5 linked regions of the Canis lupus familiaris genome follow. The protein of the gene in region 5 interacts with the protein of the main gene of each other region in a pairwise test. Links are inferred from orthologs where the notes say so. Each region holds a gene or a part of one and is shown on either strand. Other genes may lie near its edges.

The links.
Region 1: the proteins of CCDC33 (region 5) and POLR1C interact in a two-hybrid assay, tested with the Homo sapiens proteins (2 studies listed by BioGRID). The two-hybrid records come from large-scale screens. The link is inferred for Canis lupus familiaris from reciprocal best matches to the Homo sapiens genes CCDC33 and POLR1C.
Region 2: the proteins of CCDC33 (region 5) and GRN interact in binary tests that used the Homo sapiens proteins (3 or more experiments, as listed by UniProt). The two-hybrid records come from large-scale screens. The link is inferred for Canis lupus familiaris from reciprocal best matches to the Homo sapiens genes CCDC33 and GRN.
Region 3: the proteins of CCDC33 (region 5) and ABLIM3 interact in a two-hybrid assay, tested with the Homo sapiens proteins (2 studies listed by BioGRID and IntAct). The two-hybrid records come from large-scale screens. The link is inferred for Canis lupus familiaris from reciprocal best matches to the Homo sapiens genes CCDC33 and ABLIM3.
Region 4: the proteins of CCDC33 (region 5) and EMD interact in binary tests that used the Homo sapiens proteins (3 or more experiments, as listed by UniProt). The two-hybrid records come from large-scale screens. The link is inferred for Canis lupus familiaris from reciprocal best matches to the Homo sapiens genes CCDC33 and EMD.

What each region holds. Positions count from the first base shown.
Region 1 is NC_049233.1:12,166,414-12,170,554, reverse strand, and holds the start of POLR1C (DNA-directed RNA polymerases I and III subunit RPAC1), read right to left. Parts: upstream 2,808-4,141; 5' UTR 2,717-2,807; coding exon 2,648-2,716; intron 2,524-2,647; coding exon 2,452-2,523; intron 1,077-2,451; coding exon 969-1,076; intron 748-968; coding exon 615-747; intron 339-614; coding exon 219-338; intron 131-218; coding exon 1-130. Other genes in the region: protein YIPF3, read left to right, coding at 3,028-3,108, 3,731-3,928, 4,129-4,141. UniProt on the Homo sapiens protein: DNA-dependent RNA polymerase catalyzes the transcription of DNA into RNA using the four ribonucleoside triphosphates as substrates.
Region 2 is NC_049230.1:18,957,484-18,961,763, forward strand, and holds the start of GRN (progranulin), read right to left. Parts: upstream 2,808-4,280; 5' UTR 2,655-2,807; exon of another isoform or gene 2,485-2,654; intron 1-2,484. UniProt on the Homo sapiens protein: Secreted protein that acts as a key regulator of lysosomal function and as a growth factor involved in inflammation, wound healing and cell proliferation. Regulates protein trafficking to lysosomes, and also the activity of lysosomal enzymes.
Region 3 is NC_049225.1:60,709,731-60,713,680, reverse strand, and holds the start of ABLIM3 (actin-binding LIM protein 3), read left to right. Parts: upstream 1-1,143; 5' UTR 1,144-1,314; intron 1,315-1,674; 5' UTR 1,675-1,761; coding exon 1,762-1,774; intron 1,775-3,950. UniProt on the Homo sapiens protein: May act as scaffold protein. May stimulate ABRA activity and ABRA-dependent SRF transcriptional activity.
Region 4 is NC_049260.1:123,237,316-123,241,587, forward strand, and holds EMD (emerin), read right to left. Parts: upstream 2,790-4,272; 5' UTR 2,701-2,789; coding exon 2,619-2,700; intron 2,532-2,618; coding exon 2,424-2,531; intron 2,262-2,423; coding exon 2,184-2,261; intron 1,957-2,183; coding exon 1,823-1,956; intron 1,390-1,822; coding exon 1,316-1,389; intron 1,239-1,315; coding exon 905-1,238; 3' UTR 508-904; downstream 1-507. Other genes in the region: collagen alpha-1(I) chain-like, read right to left, coding at 3,184-3,510, 3,573-3,932. UniProt on the Homo sapiens protein: Stabilizes and promotes the formation of a nuclear actin cortical network. Stimulates actin polymerization in vitro by binding and stabilizing the pointed end of growing filaments. Inhibits beta-catenin activity by preventing its accumulation in the nucleus.
Region 5 is NC_049251.1:37,827,565-37,831,073, forward strand, and holds part of CCDC33 (coiled-coil domain-containing protein 33), read left to right. Parts: intron 1-2,304; coding exon 2,305-2,468; intron 2,469-3,509.

The sequences.
Region 1 (4,141 bases), on a different chromosome or scaffold from region 5:
AGTAGGTCAATCTCCTGGCCAGGCCTCAGCTGAGCAATGAGGATATCATCATGCACGGGTCTGATCGTGCCCTCTGGGAAGAGGTCAGCCTGATTCCCCAGGGGCACCCATGTCATGTGCCTGGAGTACACTGGAGAAAGCACATCAGGAAAACATCAATCCTTAAAACTAGTACCCATCAAGAGGTGGGCCTTCCTACTCACCATACCACCACTCACCTTTGTGGTTCACATAGAGTTCATTGGGGTCAGAGGAATCTTTAGCAGCATGGGGGTTCCGTGTGCACCTGACTTGAAGCCGAAACTGCAGAGTATCTATCTCTGTGCCTTCATCATCCCCTGAACAAAGGATGAAAGTGGCAGCTCTTAAAGAACGACTGAGTATTTGAGTGCATTAATCTACACTTCTCATTTACTCCTCGGACAAATTTCCAATTTCAGAAGACCAGGGCAAGTGTTCACACAGATCAGAACTGATGTACCAAAACATTAGTGATTTGCTCATGGTCACAGTAATCAAGCCAGGATTTGAACGTAGGCAGTAGATCCTCTAGAATCTACTTTAGGAGACAGCTGTTCCCATTTTGCCACAATTTCGTTTTCTCAAGCGCTGACCTTGGTTCCGATACTCAAAAAGACGAGGATCAGCATGAATGGGAATAAGCCCCAAGCGATGAGCAAGGATCTCATCCTGGACAATGGATGTGTTGTTGTACACCAGGACCTTTTCCACAGCCATGGTTGGCACCTGCCCAAAAAATAAAATCATTCATCTACAGAGACCCTACAGACTCCCTATTTACTCCTACTTCCTGACACAGGGGGCCCTATTCCCAGAAAAACACCTGATGAAAAGTTCAGGAGGAATGCTCAGGAAAATGAAAGGAGCAACCTAAGAATTCTCCAAGTAAGGTGATGGCTCAGTTTCCACCCAACTCCGTCCCTGCCACCATGCCCACCAATAAATACCTCAGCTAATAAAATGCGTCGAAAAGCATTGGCAATGGCTGCATCAATTCCCACCATGTCGAACTCCAATGAGTTTTCATCCATGTGCACTACATCCACACGGAAATTCTACAGGGACAGAAAATGCACTAAATGAAGCCTTGGCCTCTGTGGAATCAATACCGTCCCTCTGGATATCCCCCAGCCCCAGCAACAATGTTCCCACTCACCCAAGAACCTCCCTTTGGCCAGATGTACCTCATAGCTGTTCCCTTCTCCCCCAATTCTTCATGAACTTCTTGAAAAGTTCCCATTTTTATCCTCTATTCATTTAAATCCTCCAACCAGACCACCCACAGAGACCATTCTACTCTGTCCTTTCTTACTAGACTCCTCCATCGGGCATTGATAGAATCCCTCCATTTTCCAACTCTGCCTTGGTTTCTGAGCACCAATCTTCTGGTTCTTTCTCCTCCAATGAATCCTTCTAAATTCACTATCTCCTACCCACTCCATAAAGTCACTATTTTCTGGATTTTTATCTCTCTCCAAAGTGACCTCAATCACGCTCATGGGTTTAACAACTATATATACAGAAAACTCCCAAATTCTCACTTCTCATCTCCTTTCAAACACACATTTTACTGGCCTGCTAGACCTCACATTCAGGAAACAATGCAGCATCATTCCCCTTCCCCAGACCTATTTTTCATCAGTAAATGGCACCACCATCCATTAAAGCAGTTCCTCAAGGTAGGTTATTTTATACTCCCTCCTCACAGCCCACATCAAAACAGTCACCAAATTTATCATGTCTCCTTTTTGCTCTACTTTCCTGATTATCATTTTAGTTCATACCTTCAACCTCAGCTCCTCTATGCAATTCTGTCACAAATCTGACTACCCTCTATGATCTTTCCCAACAGTTAAGGATGCAAATCAGATCACATCTGGCTCAGAGCTCTTCAAAACTTCCCCTATCACCTACAGTGTCTAAGATGCACTTCAATCTTGCCTAGCACTCATGCTGCCCGACTTTACATTCTAGCAATAATAAACTGGACGTTCTTGGAACACAGTTCACAAAGCCTTTATAATGTAGCTTCTAGTCTTCGTCCCCCCACCTTCACCCTTACCCTTTCTCAGATTTTACTCATCGTTCAGGGCTCAATTCAGATGTCATCTCCTGCAGGAAGGAAATCTTCCATACCGCTGCCCCGCTTTCCGTTCCAGATTAAGTGCCCCTCAGGGGTCACCCTAGTCACGACTGTCCTTTCTTATCGCTACCAACCACCTTTACATCATACTGGAGTCATTTATGCGTGCTCTTCAACAAGATTAAACATCTTGTTCGACGAACAGGGCACAGACCATGTACACGGAGGGCCTAGCATATTGCTCAATAAACGTTTTATGAACGCAGCGAATCCCACGGGCAGTTTCCAAAGCACAGGCCGCTCAGATCACACGATCCGTTCCCAATACCCTCTCCAGCCCCACCTACCTTCTCGAAGCGGTCTTGGTCCCAGGCATCATCATAGCCGGAATAGTTACCGGGAAAGTCGGTGGTATGAACCTAGACCAAAGAGAGACGAGTCTGCGAAGGGGCAGGTAGGGCAAACCCGCCCCAACTCCGATCCCAACTCATCCCTCCTGTTCCACTCTCATTTCTCTTGCCGAGTTCAAGGCCACGGGCTTACATTGCGAACCCCGAACTCCCCTAGAACCACGCGGGTCCGCATCTCTTGCACCGCCTGGGCGGCCGCCATCTTCTACCCCTCCACGTGACTAGGGCAGCAAACTGGCGCGCGCGTCCCAGTCGCCCTCCTTCGTCTCCATGGCAACGCACCGCCTCCCGGGATGTTAAATATCGCGAGATTCTGTGCAGCCTCCGTCCACGTCCCCAGCTTCCGGAAGTCGGTTTGGGCCAAACATCCGGGTTTCTCCTTTTTGCGTTCCGGCTGAACCCACCGCTCTTTTTCGCCCCTAGACATCTCCCTCCTTCAGGCCCACGTCTCTCCCACTCCTCCTCCGCGCGCGGGACTAGCGCGGGCTTCAGCGACGGGAGCCCTCGAGGGACATGGCAACTACGGCGGCGCCGGCTGGCGGCGCCCGAAGCGGGGCCGGCCCGGAATGGGGAGGGTTCGAAGAAAACATCCAGGTAATCGCCCCAGGGCTCCGGCTGCCGGCAGCCGCAGGGCCGGCAGCCGTCCTGAAGCGTCGCGGGGACTCTCCCTGGGAGCTTGGAAGTCTGCTCCATTTGCAACACTTGTCCTCTCCTTTGGCTCTTGGTGTACACGGAAGGTAGTGGGACTGGTGCTGACCTCAAAGGTCCAGACTGGTGCTCCAGCCAGAGGGCCTCGTGCCTCTGGGCCTGCCTGCTCTTGCTTTCGAGACAAGTTTGTTGGTCGATCGGGGCCAGGCATGGCGAGGGAGTGGGCGGTATTCACCGGCGCTGGCTAAAACCATGCTGTGTGCACAGCCTTGTTTGGGGATTGGAAAAGACAAAACGGGCACTTTTGCAGCCCTCTGAGGATTTGATAGGGAAGGTAGAAGAAAGACATATATGCAAGACAGGGGGTAGGTTTCCCAGGCTAGAAAAGAGAGCCAGACAACCAAGGATTCTGAGAGCAGATGAGGGGAAGAGAGTGGTATGATCTATGGTGATTCCAAGCCATATCCCCAGCAGTGGAAGAACAAAGTCCCAAATCCTGGGAGGAACGGAGGAGGACCCGCGGATGGAACAGAAAGGGCCTGCACTCTAGAAGCCATTGTCTTCACAGGGTGGGGGCTCAGCTGTGATTGACATGGAGAACATGGATGATACCTCAGGCTCCAGCTTTGAGGATATGGGTGAACTGCATCAGCGCCTGCGTGAAGAAGAAGTAGATGCTGATGCAGCTGCTGCTGAAGAAGAGGATGGGGAGTTCCTGGGCATGAAGGGCTTTAAGGGACAGCTGAGCCGGCAAGTGGCAGATCAGGTAAGCAGGATTGGATCCCTAGCAGGTGGAAAAGTATACTTAGGAAGGCCCCCAAGTGCTGGAGTTGATGTTAAAGTTCACCCCCATGTCGCCTAACCCATTAGAACTGTGTAGAAGGCCAATAGAAAGTGAGCGACAGGGACTATGGCCAAGAACCTCTCGCAGTACCTACCCACTTCACTCCGTCTTCCTTACTGCAGATGTGGCAGGCAG
Region 2 (4,280 bases), on a different chromosome or scaffold from region 5:
ACTCTTGATCTTGACGTTGTAGATTTGAGCCCCATGCTAGGTGCAGAGAATACTTTAAAAAAAAAAAAATCTTAAAAAAAAAGATGTAAGTCTGTGAAAGGAAAATTTGTGGGGTTTGTGGGTCTGATCTGTAGGGACATGGGGCACCTCCAGGGAGTGGGTGAGGCATCAGTGGCCATGGGAGGACTGGGCTGGGGGGCAAAGAGGGAGTCCCCCTTTGAAGAAAAGCTGGGGTTCCACTTCCCCAGCCAGCCCCTCCAGAAGCCTCCCTGTGTGGGGTGGGGGAGGGGTGTCACATGATGACGTGGGAAACCAGGGTGTTGAGAAAGTTATGAAAAGGGAAGTGTGGGGATCCCTGGGTGGCGCAGTGGTTTAGCGCCTGCCTTTGGCCCAGGGAGCGATCCTGGAGACCCGGGATCGAATCCCACGTCAGGCTCCCGGTGCGTGGAGCCTGCTTCTCCCTCTGCCTGTGTCTCTGCCTCTCTCTCTCTCTGTGTAACTATCATAAATTAAAAAAAAAAAAAAGGGAAGTGTGGTAGCCCGTGGAATCTGGGCTGCCTACCCCAGAGGCCAGCCATACCTACCCCCCCAGCTGTCCCCAACCACCCAGGGAAGGGGTGCACAGGCCGGGCCAGCCTTTGAGACACCTGTGCCCTTGGGCTCCCCCAACACCACCAGGCCCTTTAAGACTCCCCAAACATACCACCCCCAAACCCTGCCGACCCCCTACCCGGAAGCTGAAACTCAGCAGTACAGGAAGAAGATCACATGCACTCACACAGCTGCACTAGCAGAAGAAACCAATCATGAGTCTCTGGGGAGTAACCTCTGACTTCCTAAATGAGTATTCCAAGCTCAGCCAGCCCTACTAGTTCAATGGGATGGGCCCAGAAGATGTTACCCTGCCTGGAGGGGCAAGACTAGTAATGTCTATTGAGCTTCAGGATGCCTGGTTGGCTCAGAAGTTGAGTGTCTGCTTTTGTCTCAGGGTGTGATCCTAGGGTCTGGGGATCGAGTCCCGCATCAGGCTCCCTGCAAGGAGCCTGCTTCTCCCTCTGCCTGTGTTTCTGCCTCTCTCTGTGTCTCATAAATAAATAAATAAATAACATCTTAAAAAAAAAAAAGTTTGTTGAGCCTTTCCCGGGCCAGTTACAATACTCTATCCTATTTTCTTTCTTTTTTGCAACAGCCATCCAAAGTACTAATTACCTTTACTTTGAGGCTCAGAGAAGTTCGGTAACATGCCCTTGTCATATATCCAGTCATGGAGATGACAGGCTTTGAGAGCTACAAAGCATACCAGACTTGGGTTCATGTCACCAGGTGGCACCATGCACAGTGCCCAGGAATGGACCCCTGAACCCCAGGAGAGTAGAGGCCTGGGGTCCAAGCAGAGGAGGGAGACAGAAGCATTTTCTGAGCAGGTGGACAAGGCAGGACAGAAATGAGAAGCACAGGGGTGCTGGATACTGCACTGGGGTGCTAGTCCTAGAATTGCCACCACTGATGGTGAGAGCCTCAAAAGTTGCTGTCTTGGGGCCTCAGTTCCCCCATGAGTCTGTGTGGACACTGCACACTGGGTGTGGCGACGACTTACACCCAGCCAGTCACTTGCATCCTTCTCTCCCTCACCTGGCTCTCTTCGCGGCCCCAGTCCCAGCTCAGAGACCGTTTCCAGGGGACACCGCCTGGCTGGTCCTATACCTTGGCCCCTTTCACCCTCTCCTCTACACTCACAGCTCCAGGCAAGACTCGTCCCGCCTACTTCTTGGGAGTCACACCTCAACCTTCCGTAGGCTGTCCCTTGTCCTGGCTTAGGCCGGAAGAGGTGCCTGTCTGCACAAATCTGGGACCACGGGGCAGTCTTTGGCATCCTAAAGTTAGGGAGTACAGCGTGTGCTTCTAGTGGATACCAATGCACAGACGCGCGCACACACTCACAACCAAGGATGACCTCTCTCCCGCCACCCCCCACTCCCAAGGTAGAGAGGGACAGGAGCCTCTCCAAGCCCCCAGCTCTGCCATCTTCCACTAGGTGGCAGCCCCCAACTCCCAGCGTCAGGAGAGAGATTCCCAAAAGGTGAGCCAACCCAACTGCGAGTGAGCAGGAAAAGTGGCCGGGAGAGGCGGAAGTTGGCTGGTCCCACCCCCCACGAGAGGAAGTACGGGAGCGGCAGACCCAACCCCCGCGTTCGGTCACCACCCCCCCGGCCCTGCTACCCTGGAGGGGGCAGGGCCACCAGCCCACTCGCAGCCCTCTGAGCTCCAGGACCAGGGCGCGCGCCTCTCTCGCTCCCAGTGCCCCGGGGACCACCCAGCACCACCAGCAGCAGCACCAGCAGCACCAGCAGCAGCACCCGGACCGGCCCGGAGCCGGCTCAAGAATGGGGTGGTCCCTGCTCTGGGGAAGGGGCTGCAGCTTCCGGAGCCGCTGGAGAGGGAGAGAGCCCCCTTCTCGTGGGGGTCACTGCAATCACTGCTTACCCCCGGCCCCCCGTAAAACTGCCTCCTGTGCATCGGAAAGCCCCAAAGGAGCTTCTCTGAGCCAGTCTTCTCTTGCCTCCCGGCTGAAACTCCAGACGAGCCTCAAGCCCTCACGTCCGCCCGGCCGAACTGCCGAGGAAGCGAGAGGTCTGCGCGGCCACCCTCCTTACCTGTGACCGGCCCCGCGCTCGCTGCGAAGCCGGGCCGGGCAGCTCGGGACTAGGGCCTGCGGCGCGACGGCCCGCCCACCTCCGTTCCCATTGGCCAGGCGTCCGGGCTGTCGCGCTCCTACTGGCTGCTGCTCGACGGTAGAGGCGGGGCCAGCCTGCAAAGCTCTGCTTTTTTTTCTTACTCAATTCGCGGTCGTCCCTCCCTTCTTCTCGCTTCCCACCCTCCCCCCTCCACTGTTTTATGGGATCATGTGATTGGAGAATCATGTGACGTCCTGGCCGGGCTCGGCCGGGCTGCGGGCGCCTGGCGGAGTCTTCCCGAGGTGGTGTGGCCCCGGAGTGCGTTGGCCGGCGAAGGGAGCTGCCCCTTAGGGGGTGCACTCCAGGGCGTTTACAGGATGTCTGCTTCTGGGTTAGGGACACCTGTGCATCCTGTTTCTTTTGTATTCAACGAACTCAGAATAAATGCTGGGCAGCCAGGCCCCGAAGGGAGGGTTGTGAGGGCAAGGATAGACAGCTCTCAGGCCCTTTCCTCAGGGTGCTCCTGGCCGGGTGTGAGTGGGTAGAGAGATGAGACAGGCTCACGTTCAATCTAATTTAAGGTGCAAGATCGTGTGCCAGGTATTAATGGATGTGTGTAGGGCAGAGGTGGAAGATTGGCTCTTGGCAGGGAGGAAAAGATTTAATTCTACCTTAAGGGCACTTTAAAAATTATTTATTTATTTATCTGAGAGAACGAGCATGAGCGGAGGGAGAGGGAGAAGCAGACTCCCTGCTGAGCAGGGAGCTGGACTGGGGCTTGATCCTAGACCCTAGGATCATGACCTGAGCCAACGGCAGATACTCAACCAAGTGAACCACCCAGGCGCCCCTTTAAGGACACCTTTTGGAGCTGAACCTGGGAGAATGTTAACTGGCAGGTGGACAGGGGTTGGCAAAGCTCCTGAGCAGGGGGTGTTAGGAAGAGCATTAGGAAACCAGATGGGAAGAGCAGCGTTGGGCAGGGATTAAATGCCAAGTACAACGTAGTGGGCTTGAGGAGCTGTTGGGTGCCTGACACGAGGCTTGGGCTGGGGGTGGGAGCATAGTGGAAGTGGCTTCCTCGTTAGAGTCAGCCTTGCCTTCCAGGAATTGAAATAACCGGTGAGGAGAGAAAGGTACTACACAGAACAGATTGGCCAGCAACAAGAGCCAGGCTGCTCCGTGCCAAAAGGCCATTTTGGCTCAGGCCAAAAATGGTTGATAGATGCACCAGGAAAGAGGAGAGGCCCAGAGAAAGCCCAGTGCCAGGCTAGGGGGACAGGCAGTGTTTGGTGGTACAGTGTGGATGGAGAGCACCACAGGCTCAACAAAGAGCTTGGGCAGAGGGGTGGCTGGGGGAGATGACAAACACCCCAATTCAGGGGTGGTGGCATTCTGTGTGTGGGAGTAGCAGGGTTGGGGAATTGTGTGTGGCAGTGGTGCTCAGCCTGGGGCTAGAGAGGGTCTGGAGAGTGTGTGAGGCTCCTGCTGAGAATCAGGACAACCCTGTACGCTAGTGACATTTGTACACAGTTTACCTCCTGAGTATCCTGAGGCAAGGGGAGGTCCCATTTATGCTTCCATTAATAAAGTATGGGCACACAC
Region 3 (3,950 bases), on a different chromosome or scaffold from region 5:
GAACCAAGCTAGTGAGAGGGTTCGGTCCAGTTCCACCACGCTGTGTGTCTGCCCTCGGGCAGGTACTCAGCCTCTGTGACCCCTTCTTTCCCTGTCTCTAAGTCCGGGGTCTGAGGGTTCACGACATCTTGATTCTACACATGCTCTAAGCAGGGATCACGGAGTCTCTCAGTCTTGTTTTGCTGTACCCAAAAGTCATGCTTCTGTGACCATGAATTAGGTTCAGAAGGTGACGGAATAAGGAGTCAGGGGAATGTAAAAAAAAACCCCAAAAACCAAAAAACCCCACCCCACTGAATTAATCATGACCAAAATATCAGAATATAACTTTCCGTAATACACACCTCAAGAACTAATTACTAAAATAATAGTAGTAATAATACTTCAGAGGAGAGTCAGCTGTAGGAAAACTGGGTGAACCGGTGAGGCTGAGTCATAGGGCCCCATACCTGCCTCGGCCTCAGATGGGGAAGAGTCTCCAGGTGGGGCTTCCTAGAGCTTCTTCTCTGAGGACGGCACAGTATCAGGTCCAGAGAGGGCCTGGGGCATTCTATCAACAGATGCTCGTTGATACCTCGGGTGCCAGGCGCTGCGCCAGGTGTTGGGGAGCCCTGTGGAACCCTGCGGACACGGCCCCCACTCTCACTGAGCTGACACTCCAGCGGGTAGGGAGATGATAAACCATCGTCCCAAATGACTCAGTGATAAGGGGTACGGGGGGGGGGGGGGGGGGGGAGGAAGGGACCCAAGGGAGGAGGCCGCAGGAGCCCCTCACGCCTCCGCCCTCGGCCCGGGGGGAGCACGAGGCCTCAGCAGCAGCGACCTGCTCAGGACCGGAGTCGGAGGGCGCCGGGTGGACGTGGACTTGGAAGGGACACCTGTCTTCCTGCAGAGCCCGGCTTTCTCGCCGGCCCCTCCCAGCGACGGCGGGTTTTCCTACGCCGTGGAGCCCGCAGACCCGAGCCCCGAGGGAGCGGGAGGCAGCGCCCGAGCACCGCCCGCCCCGGGCACGGGGTCGCCTCCGCCCGCCCGCCCGCGCGCCCCAGGCCCGGGAGCGGCCCGGGAGCGGCCCGGGGGCGGCCCGGGGGCGGCCCGGGGGCGGGGCCTGGCGAGGCGGCGGCGCGTCCGGCAGGTGGCGGCAGCGAGCGGCCGCGCCCCCCGCGCCGCCGGCCCGCGAGCCCGCACCATGGAGGGCGAGCTCTCCGGTTTCGCTGCGCTCGCCTCGGAATTCGAGACTGCGGACGAGGACCGGGATGCATGAGCCGGCCGCGGGGGCCCGGGCAGGGGCCTCTGGCTCCCGACGCTGGCCGAGAGGTGGGTCCCGGGGCGCTGGCCGCTCCCGAGGCCGGGCGGGGACGCGCTGCCCCCGCCCTGCCTCCCCGCGGTCCACACCCCCTTTGGGCTCGGGAGCCGCGGGGCCGGAGGCGTCGGGGCGCGCGCGGCGGGGCGGGCGCTGGGGGCCCCGCTGCCCGGGCCGGTGCGCTCCCCCGCGCTCCCCGCGCTCCCCGCGCTCCCCGCGCTCCCGCCGCCGCCGCCGCCGCCGCCCTCACCTGCGCGCGCCGGTCCCCGGGCCCCCGAGGCCGGCGGCTGCAGCCCGGCCCGCGAGGGGACGGCCGCGGGGTGAGAGCACCTGAGGATGCGGAGCTGGCCCTGGACCGCCTTTTCACCCCCCAGGTGATGAGTGAGGCCGGGAGGTCGCGAGCTTCCAAGAGCAGCCGGGTCCTGCGTCTTGAATGAGAGACCCAGTGCGAAGGCATCACCATGAACACGAGCAGTAAGTGGGTCCTCCTCTCCTTTGCCATGGGAACAGGCTGGGGGCGGGAGGGGCGGGAGCTGGAGGCAGCCTGGCATCGCGCCGGACACGCGGCCCCCAGACTCCCTCTTGGCCCCTTCCGTGCGCCCCGGAAGGGGGATGTGGGTCCGGCTTTTCCTGACAATTTTGCTCATGTTTTATTGGCAGCAGCACTTGCCTCTGCGGGGAAGGCTGCTCGTCTCCTTCTAGCAATGCCTGGGAAGGCCTAGGAAGCACTAACGAACGTGGCCATTGTCTGGCTGTGGGGGCTCTAGGAGACCTCCCTGCACACAGCTGGAGAGCCATGGAGGGGCCCGGCTTGTCCTGAAGCCGAGAGGAGCAGGGAGGCCGGCCCCGGGCTGGTGGTGGCTGGTGGTGGGTGGATGTGGGCAGGCAGTGGGCTGGGAGCGAGCAGTTTGATAAACAAATCGTCAGGAAGCCACCTTTGGGTCTAGAGATTGTGAAATATCCTGCTCCTGTGCCTGCAGCCCCACGGCCGGGGCTGATTTCTGCACACACCTGCAGGCCGCGTAGCTATCCCGAGAGGAGAGAAAAGAGACAAGCCCTTTGGCCAAGATCTCTAACATGCCAGGGGTAACAACTGCTTTGCAGAGACAGGACCAGACATTTTGCTGCTGGGCTGGGCCTCAGCTGCTGAGAAATGCAGGCAGAAATACAAGGAGGCCCTGTATGTGTCTCTTCAGTGTGGTCCCTGTGACCATGGGCACCCACTGTGACCACCACCCTGGAGAGGAGATCTGGGTTCAAGTCCTCCCCCTCCCGCCTCCTCATCAGCTCAGCTTGTCTGGGTGCTCCCAGGAGCAGGTGGGATCGTTGAAGCGGAGGACCCAAGGAACATTCGGTTCCCTGGGTCTGTGACTTTCCCATCAGTCTCCTCTCTGGATCCCAGATTGCTGGTCTGTGAAATGAGAAGGGTTGAATCTAAATCTGTAAGTTTCTTTTTAAAAAGCGAGAGCCGAACAGCAAGACCAGAAAAATCAGTACCTTCTGAGGCTGTGTCCAGACCAAAGCCACCGTTTCTCCACCCTCCCTCCATTTCAAGGCTGTTGGCCTGGAGGGGAGGAAAACAAAGCAAAAGCCAGTGAGATGGAAATGAAATATATTTATTTACTATGTATTTGTATGACTCATCCCTCTGCTCTCTTCCTTTGTGTATTACATAGCTCTGCTAAGCGAGTGTGGCTGAACTCCCTCTGCCTCTTCCAACCAAAGAATTTTGCCTCTTGATTGTGACAGGCAGGAACGGTGCTTTGGCTTCACACCGGGCTCTGGAAAAGAGCAAAATTCTGTAGATCTGATCACCTAGGTGGGCCACATGTTTCCCCCTGCGTGCTTTCAGACGAGTAAAGATGTGAGCCGCCTGTCACTTCTCACTATCTCTAGGGGAAAGATGTAGTTATGGGAGTCCTTTCTCACTACATGATAGGAGAGAAAGATGGCTCATCTGTTTTTCAAAAAACTAAGAAATAAGTTCACAAGCAGCTGGCCTTACCCTTTTGTCTTGTCCCATTAGCAACACCGAATATGCCTGAAAGAAGGAAACAGCTTTTACTTTTTTTTTTTTTTAAACAAACAACAACCAATTGAGCTGAATACCGCAGGAGACAAGGACTCACAAAAATGCTACTCCAGCCTCGTATACTTTTTTCTAAGTAGGGAGAGTGTGTTTATTTTCCAGAGGTAGTGGAAAATAAACAGAGTAGCATGACTTGGGTGACCGCTGAGGTCCCCGTAAGAAGTGCTCCTCTAAGGGCTACCCTGGGGAGCACTGTGGCCACTGGTGCTCAAGGCTTGGAGGCGGGGCTCCATCATCCCTGAGGCTGCTTCCAAGCCTGAGAGTCTGCAAATGGAGAATATAGAAGTCAGACCTCATATGAGCGAAGCAATGCCAAGGCCATAGGGGCTGGGCGTTGGCAGGAAGTCCTTGAGGTGACCTGATCAAAGCAAAAATGCTCTCCCCTTGGGGATGTAAAATTCTTACTTAATCCTGGTACCTGAAATGGAACCTAAGAGACAATCTTACTCAGTTTTTCTCTCCCTTCCATTTATTGGATCCTCACCCTCCACCAGTCACTGTGCTCAGCATCGTACCTGTATGATCTCCCCAACTGTCACCCGCACCCTGGGAGATGGTGGT
Region 4 (4,272 bases), on a different chromosome or scaffold from region 5:
ACTTTGCAGGTGGAGGTGCTCGCCTCCCGCACAGAAAACCTGGAGATAAGCAAGAACATAGGCAGGTGAGGGGTGGGATTTACACAGGGGTGATGCGGCATCCTGTGGGCCTCTCCCCCCCCCCGGACAAGCGGCCGCCCGGGAGGAGCCCGCCACTCGCCGCATTTCCTCCCTGTCCACCTGCCCTTGGGTACTGAGGCCGGCTGTCGGCTCCTCCCTGTCGGAACATCTGTAGCCAGTGCTGTGCACGCACCCTCACCTGCATTTATGGGGGAGCTCTCTGCATCCCGTGGGGGCACGCTTCTTTGCCTAGTTACAGCAGCTTTGGGTCACGAGTCAGGGAGCAAACCCTACCAGTAAAGCACAAACGTGCCCGTGGGTAGCATGCGATCCCTACCCCAACCCCAAAGCAAGAAGGGAGAGCGAACAAAGCCAGATGTTGCTCGTGGAGACCCAAGGCCTGGAGGCTCCCAGCCCAAGTCCTTCCCAGCAAAGAGAGCCCACACGTTAAAAATAAATGGTCTTTTTATTGTGTCCACGAAAACAAAGTCAGGGTGGCCTGGGTTAATCCCCCCCGACGAGGTGACAACAGACAGGAGGCATGCAATGACAACAACCATGTTCTCCTCTCCAGGAGAAGGGTCTTACCCTCCTGGGCCCTGGATCAGAGGCAAGCAGGACCAGGAGACTCCAGAGGAAGGCCTGCCCGGGCCCGCCATGCCGCGGAGGGCCTGGGCTTGCCACCTCCTGGGCAGAACGAGGCAGGGGAGCAAGCACTGCCCTGGGCCAAGCCCAGCACACCGAAGCTAGAACACACAGAAAAGCCCCCACCCCCTCCCCCAGCAGACACTACTAAGGCAGTCAGCCAGGACTTCCGGGAACAGCTGGCCACGAAGCCAGCCCCTCAGGGCTCCGTCCAGAAGGGATTGCCATCCTCAGCCTGCATGGAGTAGTAAACAAAGAGCAGGAAGGCAGCAAAGACCAGGAACAGGAGCAGCTGGCCCCAGAGTGGGACCTGGCGGTCCTGGCCCAGACCAGCCCCAGGGGCCTGCTTTTCTGGCCGGATAGCACGACGGGTGAGCCACGAAGTGGGGGAAGATGAAGATGAGGATATGGGAGAGGTGGAAGAGGGTGTGGGATAATAGGACAGGCCCAGGGAGCTTCTGGAGATGTTGGAAACAGGGCGGTAGTGCACGATGTTCTGGTAGGCGCTGTCCCGGCCATACCCGGAGCGTTCCCTGAGGCAGAGGACAGCAGGTGAGCCAGGGGGCCTGCGCCCAGAACCACCCGCTGCCTGGCCCTTCCTGCCACTCACCTGTCCTTGCTGTCCTCTTCAGAAGAGAAGAGACTGTCATCGCGCACCTGCAGGTAACAGTCAGGGAGAGGGGAACTGGCCAGCAGAGTCAGCAGCCTGTAGCCTGTCCCGTCCTCACTGCAAACTAGCCTAGCTGAAACACCCGGACCCTGTTCCCTCCAAAACCCTCCTGAGTTACCAGCCTTAGCCCGGTAGGGCTTTGTCACCCGCTCCACAACTCGACAGGTATCCTGGCCGCCTGCACCTTACTTTCTGCCCCGGGGGGTCTGAGAAAGATCTCAAACCTAGATCCCAGGTCAGGGTGCACGGCGTCCCAGGTGCCCTAGTGTTAGGTCTGACACTCCCCCAAGGACGGCCCTGCCAAGGGAGGTGTGCACTTACCTTGCCTCTCGGGAAGCACAGGGCCTACCGCGTGCGCCCCCCCCCCCCCCCCCCCCCGTCCAGGTTTTGTCCAAGCCCAGCTATGACCCCCACAGGTTGTATGCAGGTGCTCGGCAGCCAACTCACCTGGTGGTGAAAGGTGTCCGAATCTGCGAGTGAAGCTGATGGCTGGCGGAAGCCCTTGGAGGAGCCCACAGGCTCAGGGTCCCCGTAGGTCCTGGTGCTCAGGTAGCTCTCCTCGTAGTAGTCATCGCCGTAGCCTTGGGAAGGGGGGGAGAGCGGTAGCAAGGTGCACAGTGGCTGCGCCCACCTGGCCCTAATCTCAGTCCCACGTGGGAGCCTGTGGCACCGTCTCTCCCCTCTGGGGCTGCTGAGGATGACGGGCTTGAGATCCCAGGTCCCCCCAACACCAGGCTCCCTGAGGGAGGGGGTAAGGGTGACAGGGTGCCCCCCCCAGGGTGCCCCCCCCCCGCCCGCCCAGCCTTACCCTTGCTCTGGTAAAGCAAGGCGTCTTCTTTCTTGGGCAGATCGTACATATCCGAGTCCACGGATGCCGAATCTAAGTCTGAGGGGGGGGGGGCGGGACCATTTGCCCCCGGCTCCCCTCCCTTCTTCCTGTGCCCCTCCCAGCCACCGCCCCTGCCACACCCTCCGGACCCCGTGCCCCCCGTCGCCCAAACCCCGTCCCCCTGGGAGGCCAGGTGGAGATCCGGGGCGGGGGCCTCACCCGAGAACCGATAGGAGAAATTGAAGGCGGACGAGTTGGGGGGCGACAGCCTCCGCCTCTGGGTCTCGTACTCGAAGATCTTCTTTTCGTAGAGCTTGCGAGTGGAACCTGGCCAGACACGGGACGCGGGGCGTCAGGGCCGCGGGCCGGACCCCGGGGGGGGGGCGGGGAGGGGGCGCGCTCGCCGCCGCGTACCCACGACAGGCCCGTGCGGGATGTTGTACTGGCGCAGCACGGCGGCCAGCTCGGCGTCCGACAGGACCGCGTAGTCGTCCATGGCGGGCGGCGGGGACCCGGGGGCCCGGGCCTGGCGGGCGGCGGGCGGCGGGGAGCTGGGGGGGCCCGGGCCTGGCGACGCGGGCCCAGCTACCGCTGCCTCCGAGCACGGCGGGGGCGGCGCGAGCGTCTCGGGAGCGGCAGCGCTCGCGTCACGCCTGCGTCACGCTCGCGTCACGGCCGCGGGCTCTGCGGACTGCGCGCGGGGCGGGGCGGGGCCGGGCCGGCGGCGCCGGCGCGGAGCGGGGGACCGTGGGAGCGGGCGGGGCGGGCGTCATGACGTCAGACGTCGCAAGCGGGCGGGATAGGCTGGCGGCGGCGGCGGGGCGGGGCCGCGCTCCGGAGGGGCGGGGCCCGCCGGCCGAGGGGCGTCACGCGCTGGCGCGCAGGGGCGGGGCTCGAGCGAGGAGTCGGGCTTGCGGGGGCGGGGACGAGCGTGGGCTCGCCGCGACGTGGGGGCGGGGCGGGGCGGGCGGTCGAGGCGTCACCGGCTGGCGTGTCGGGGTCGGGAGGGCGGGGGTGGGGACCTACGCAAGTCGAACCGGCAGAAACCGGCCAGGACAGGAAAGCGGCGCAGGACTGACGCGCTGGGCGCGGCTCGCGCTCCCTGAGTCACGCGGGCTCCGACGGTCCCCGCAGCCCCCTGCCCCCTCCGCACCCCGCGCTCCCCGGCCGCCCCGGGCCGGCCGCGCCTCCGCCGCAGCGCGAAGGGACCCCGATCCCGAGAGCGGGCCCTCGGGGCCGCGGGGCCCAGGCCCGGGCAGCAGCCGCCTCGGCCCCCGGTGCCACCCCGCCCCGCTCCGCTCTCCACCTGCGCCCGTCGTCCCGCAGGTCCCCAGCGCCTCCCACCCTCCCTCCCTCCCTCCCTCCCACTGCGCCCGGGAGGAAATGGGGCACTGGGCCAGGAGGCCGCGGGCACCCCAGGAGCGGGCATCCTTGCAAGGCACTGGGCGTGCCCGTGGGCGCTGGCAGGGGGCCGAGCCCGGCGTGCGGGCGGCGGCCAGCGTGCGCCCGACCCCCGCGCCAGCCACCTGGGGCGTCGGGGCTTTCCTCTGCTGTCCAGGGCGTCCCCGTGGCAGCCTGGGGGGGCGGGGAGCCTTCAAGCCCCCGACGACCTGCTGGGCCGGCTCTGCGCGCTTGGGCCTGGGTGGGCCCCGGGGTGAGCCGAGCACAGGGGGCCCCGGCGTACTCGCGGGTGAGCGCGCGAGGTTGCAAGGCCGTGGAGAGCCTGCACTGTCATTAGGAATTCGTGAAGGCCTTGGTCGCAAAGAGCTGTTCTGGGGGGATTGGAAAGGTGGTGACAATCATATTCTAAATGAAGCCAACTCAGGGAATGTGGGTACAAATGAAGCGCCCCCCCCCCCCGGAGGCCCAGAACTAGGAGCATAGGGAGAAGAGGTGCTATCTTTGATATCAGATGATAGCTAGTGACAGGGACAAGAGACAGGTCTCCGATTCATCCTGGTCCAGCTGGTGAGGGTCACAGACCAGTTCTCCTTGGGTCACAGGATGGAGAAGAGGAAGCCACACAGGGAGTGGTGAGATGGGGCCTTGGTGTGAACACACACACAGA
Region 5 (3,509 bases):
GGCCCTGTGCCTGCTTACCCCCACCCCCCACCCCGTAGGGTTTTTCTCTGAGCACTGACCTCCCTCTGTTCCTCCCACCCTGGCCTGGCTCAGGGAACAGGGAGCGGGGAGGAGTAACTCTCAACACCTCTGCAGATGGTGACAGGCCCCCCTGGGCCCTAGTCAAGGGGCACTCCTCAGTCAGAGGGAAGGGGCCCCTGTAGGGTGGCACTTCTGGGCCTGGGAGGTGGGCTTCTCACCTCCTAATTAGTCATCTTGTTAGGCAAGGACCACAGCTTGTACCAAGATGGCCTTTCTGATAAGGTGAGACCTGTAGGAAATGAGGGAGTAAGCCACAGGAATGGACGGGCAGGGGAGGAGGGAACGGCCTGGAAAAGGCTTTGAGGCAGGAGCCAGCTTGGGGTGTGCAAGAAACCCCTGGAGCCAGGGGCAGGGGGCCCAGGGATGAGGTGAGGGCGGCTTCCTGGGCCAGAGGTCCTTACAGGCCTTCGCGGGACTTACAGGTCCTCACAGGCCACTGCGAAGCTCTGGATGGACCGGAGCTGGTGCTTGCAGCAGAGGAGAGATGTGGTCCGACTGTGAAGGATCACGGGGCTGCTCCGGGAGACGGGCTGGGCGGAGGCAGGGTCGGAGAGGAAGTGAGAAAGCAGTCAGGAGCGCGGAAACCCAGTGTCCCGCACCTGAGTGCTTGGTGGTAACGGTGAGAAGGGCTCCGAGTCCAGACCCCCAGACCCGGTTTGAAGCAGGGCTGGAGGAGCATCCCGCTGGGGAAGCGGCCTCCCGGAGCCTGACTGGCCCAGAGCTCTCCCTCCGCCCAGGGCGCATCAGGACTGGGCCAGGGGATCCACTGACGCCCACCCCACCCCCAGAACTGGGTCCTTACTCTTCTCCTGGCCTCCATCTCCCCTCTATGTCACAGGACATTGTTTTGTTTGGTTTTTAAAGATTTTATTTATTCATGAGAGACACACAGAGAGAGGCAGAGACACAGTCCCGATGTGTCCTGATGTCGGGACTCAATCCTGGGACCCCGAGGTCGGGACCTGAGCCAAAGGCAGACGCTCAACCGCTGAGCCACGCGGGCATACCCAGGACATTGTTCTTGATCTCCATGGATGCGTCCTACTTTGAGGACTCCCCCTACCAGGGCCTGCCTTGGAATGCAGGTTCTGACAGGCCGAACTTTCTAGATAAAAGGGCAACCCTCACACCCCCTTCAGGGGCCCATCTCCAAGCTGAGGAGGTCCCTGGCTTCTCTCCTGGGGCATCAGCTAGTGCTGATCGATCAGCAGAGGGATGAGGACGGGGGCAGCCTCTGCCAGGTGAGGCCTAGCACGGGTGGATGTGGGTCACCCACGTCCAGCCCTGGCACTGGGAGTGAGAGTCCAGCAGCCAGTGCAGAGGAAGAGCGGCCCGAGCCACAGCAGTGCAGGTCCACAGCTGTCCCCAGCCCACAGTGTTTACTCCCAAACTGCTGGTTCTGCTGCCCTCCGCGAGTCCTCGTGCCTCCGGAATCAACGCGAGCCTGCCCTGAGCTGTGGGAGCTCCCTCCCCGCCCTGCACCCTGCTCCAGCTCCCCAGTCCTCCCAGCCATATGTGTCCTCCCAGCCCTGTAAGGCCTCCTCTTCCCAGCTGCCTTCTCTGACTGCACCGGCGGCTGCTCCTGTCTCCTCTCCAACAGTCCACAGCTTGGGGATTCAGGGTGCTTGGGGCCCTGAATCCCCAAGCTGTGGACTGTTGGGCTCTTGAACTCCTTCTCACGTGAGTCTGCTTGGGGCCACCAGCCCAGAGGCCCCGTGCGCCGGCAGGCACCTCTCCGCCTTCCCGGTCTGCAGGGTTCTCTGGGTGGAAGATAGAGGGGACACATTCATCTCTTTTTGCTAATGCATCAGGTGACTCCGTGGATGTGGATAAACTTTGTAAAGGGCCGTGCATGGGAAGGGCCTAAGGTTACAGGTGGACTGAGGAAGGCCTGCTGCTAGCACCTCAAAAGCAGGCAGGACTTAGGAATCAGATGCAAGCACCTGCAAAAGCAGAGGCCCAGTGGTGAGACGACTTGAGGGATGAGGCCCGTCTCTCTCTGCAGGAAGTGACGCAGGGCTGGGGCGGATGTGCGTGGGATGTGGGCCAGAGGTGGGGAGAAAATGGGGCCAAAGGCAAATGCCCTGTAGTTCCAAACTGGGTGGAGGGACGACTCAGGGAAAGGCGCTTGGAGGGGAGCCGTAAAGGGCTGGAGTTAATAGGGAGGCTGGAAGGACAGGCAACCACCCAGAGGAGGGCACTCAGCCCTGGCTCTCTCCGCAGGTCGCCGAGAGCCCAGAGGAGCCCCTGAACACCGTCCAGAGCATGGAACCCATCACCAGCCACCTGTCCCCCTCTAATAAGGAGACCATCATGGTTACTCTCCACGGGGCCACCCACCTACCCACCTGCAAGGATGGCTCTGAGCCGTGGCCCTACGTGGTCGTGTAAGTAGTGCTGGGAGCAGAGGTCTGGGCTGGCATTGGGCTGGGAGCAGAAACCAGTGTACGGACATTTGCCCGTGAGCAGCCAAAGGTCGGGGGCGGCACTGTGATACCCAGGGGGGAAGCCAAGTGTGAATCACACAGGGGCTGCAGGCTCCGTCCATGTGAGGCCTGACATCTTCCCTGCTGGGTAGGAAGCCGTGCACAGGGCTGAGGAAGGAAGGAAGAGCCACTCCTTGATCCCGAAGCCAGCTGGGCCGGCTTGGCCACAGTTTGACCTCAGGGAGGTCGGCCCCTCCCCTGCAGGGAGGCCTGGGCTGGGCTCAGAGCAGGGTGGTGGTCAAAGGAAGAAGACCTGAGCCTGCCTCTCTGGGCCTCGGGGTGCCCGATCCGACGATGCCCCATTCCAGGGTAGGTGCTCGCGACCATCCTGCTCCTCAGCCCCCACTACTTCTCAGGTCATTGCTATCACGGGGGATTCCCTAGTTTCTTTAACGCACCCCACACCCCCGCCAGCCAGCTGCAGTCAGGGCACACTTCTCACAGCCTAGTGCCTGAGTGAGGCCTCACTCCTCCCAGAAAGGCATCGAGGAGCAAGAGTGTCCATCCAGCCAACCTTCGGCATGGACGTTGGACGTGCGTTCGGTCTTGATTACAAGGTGCTGTGCAGTAACCCTCCCACAAGCTTGTCGCCCCTGAGCCCCTGTGTAAACAGTGGGAGCCACCAGGGCCTCCCCAAAACCTCCTCTAGGACACCCGGCCTCATTCAGTGCCTGCCGCAGCCCTCTCCCAACACCTGCTGAAATCCCACCTTCAAAGCCTTACCCCTGACGCCTCCTCTTCCAGGCAGTCACCAGAGTTGAGCTCTCCCCGCTCTGGGGTCCAGCACAGCAGTGACACCTCTGAGCAGACGCACTTTACATAAACAGGTGCTGCTCTTGTGTCCCCCAGACTGGGGTTCCAGAGCACAGATCCTCGGTCCGACGTCCCCCCTCCCCATGCGCCCAGCACCGGCCTGAGCACCCACCTGGGGCAGAGGAGCCA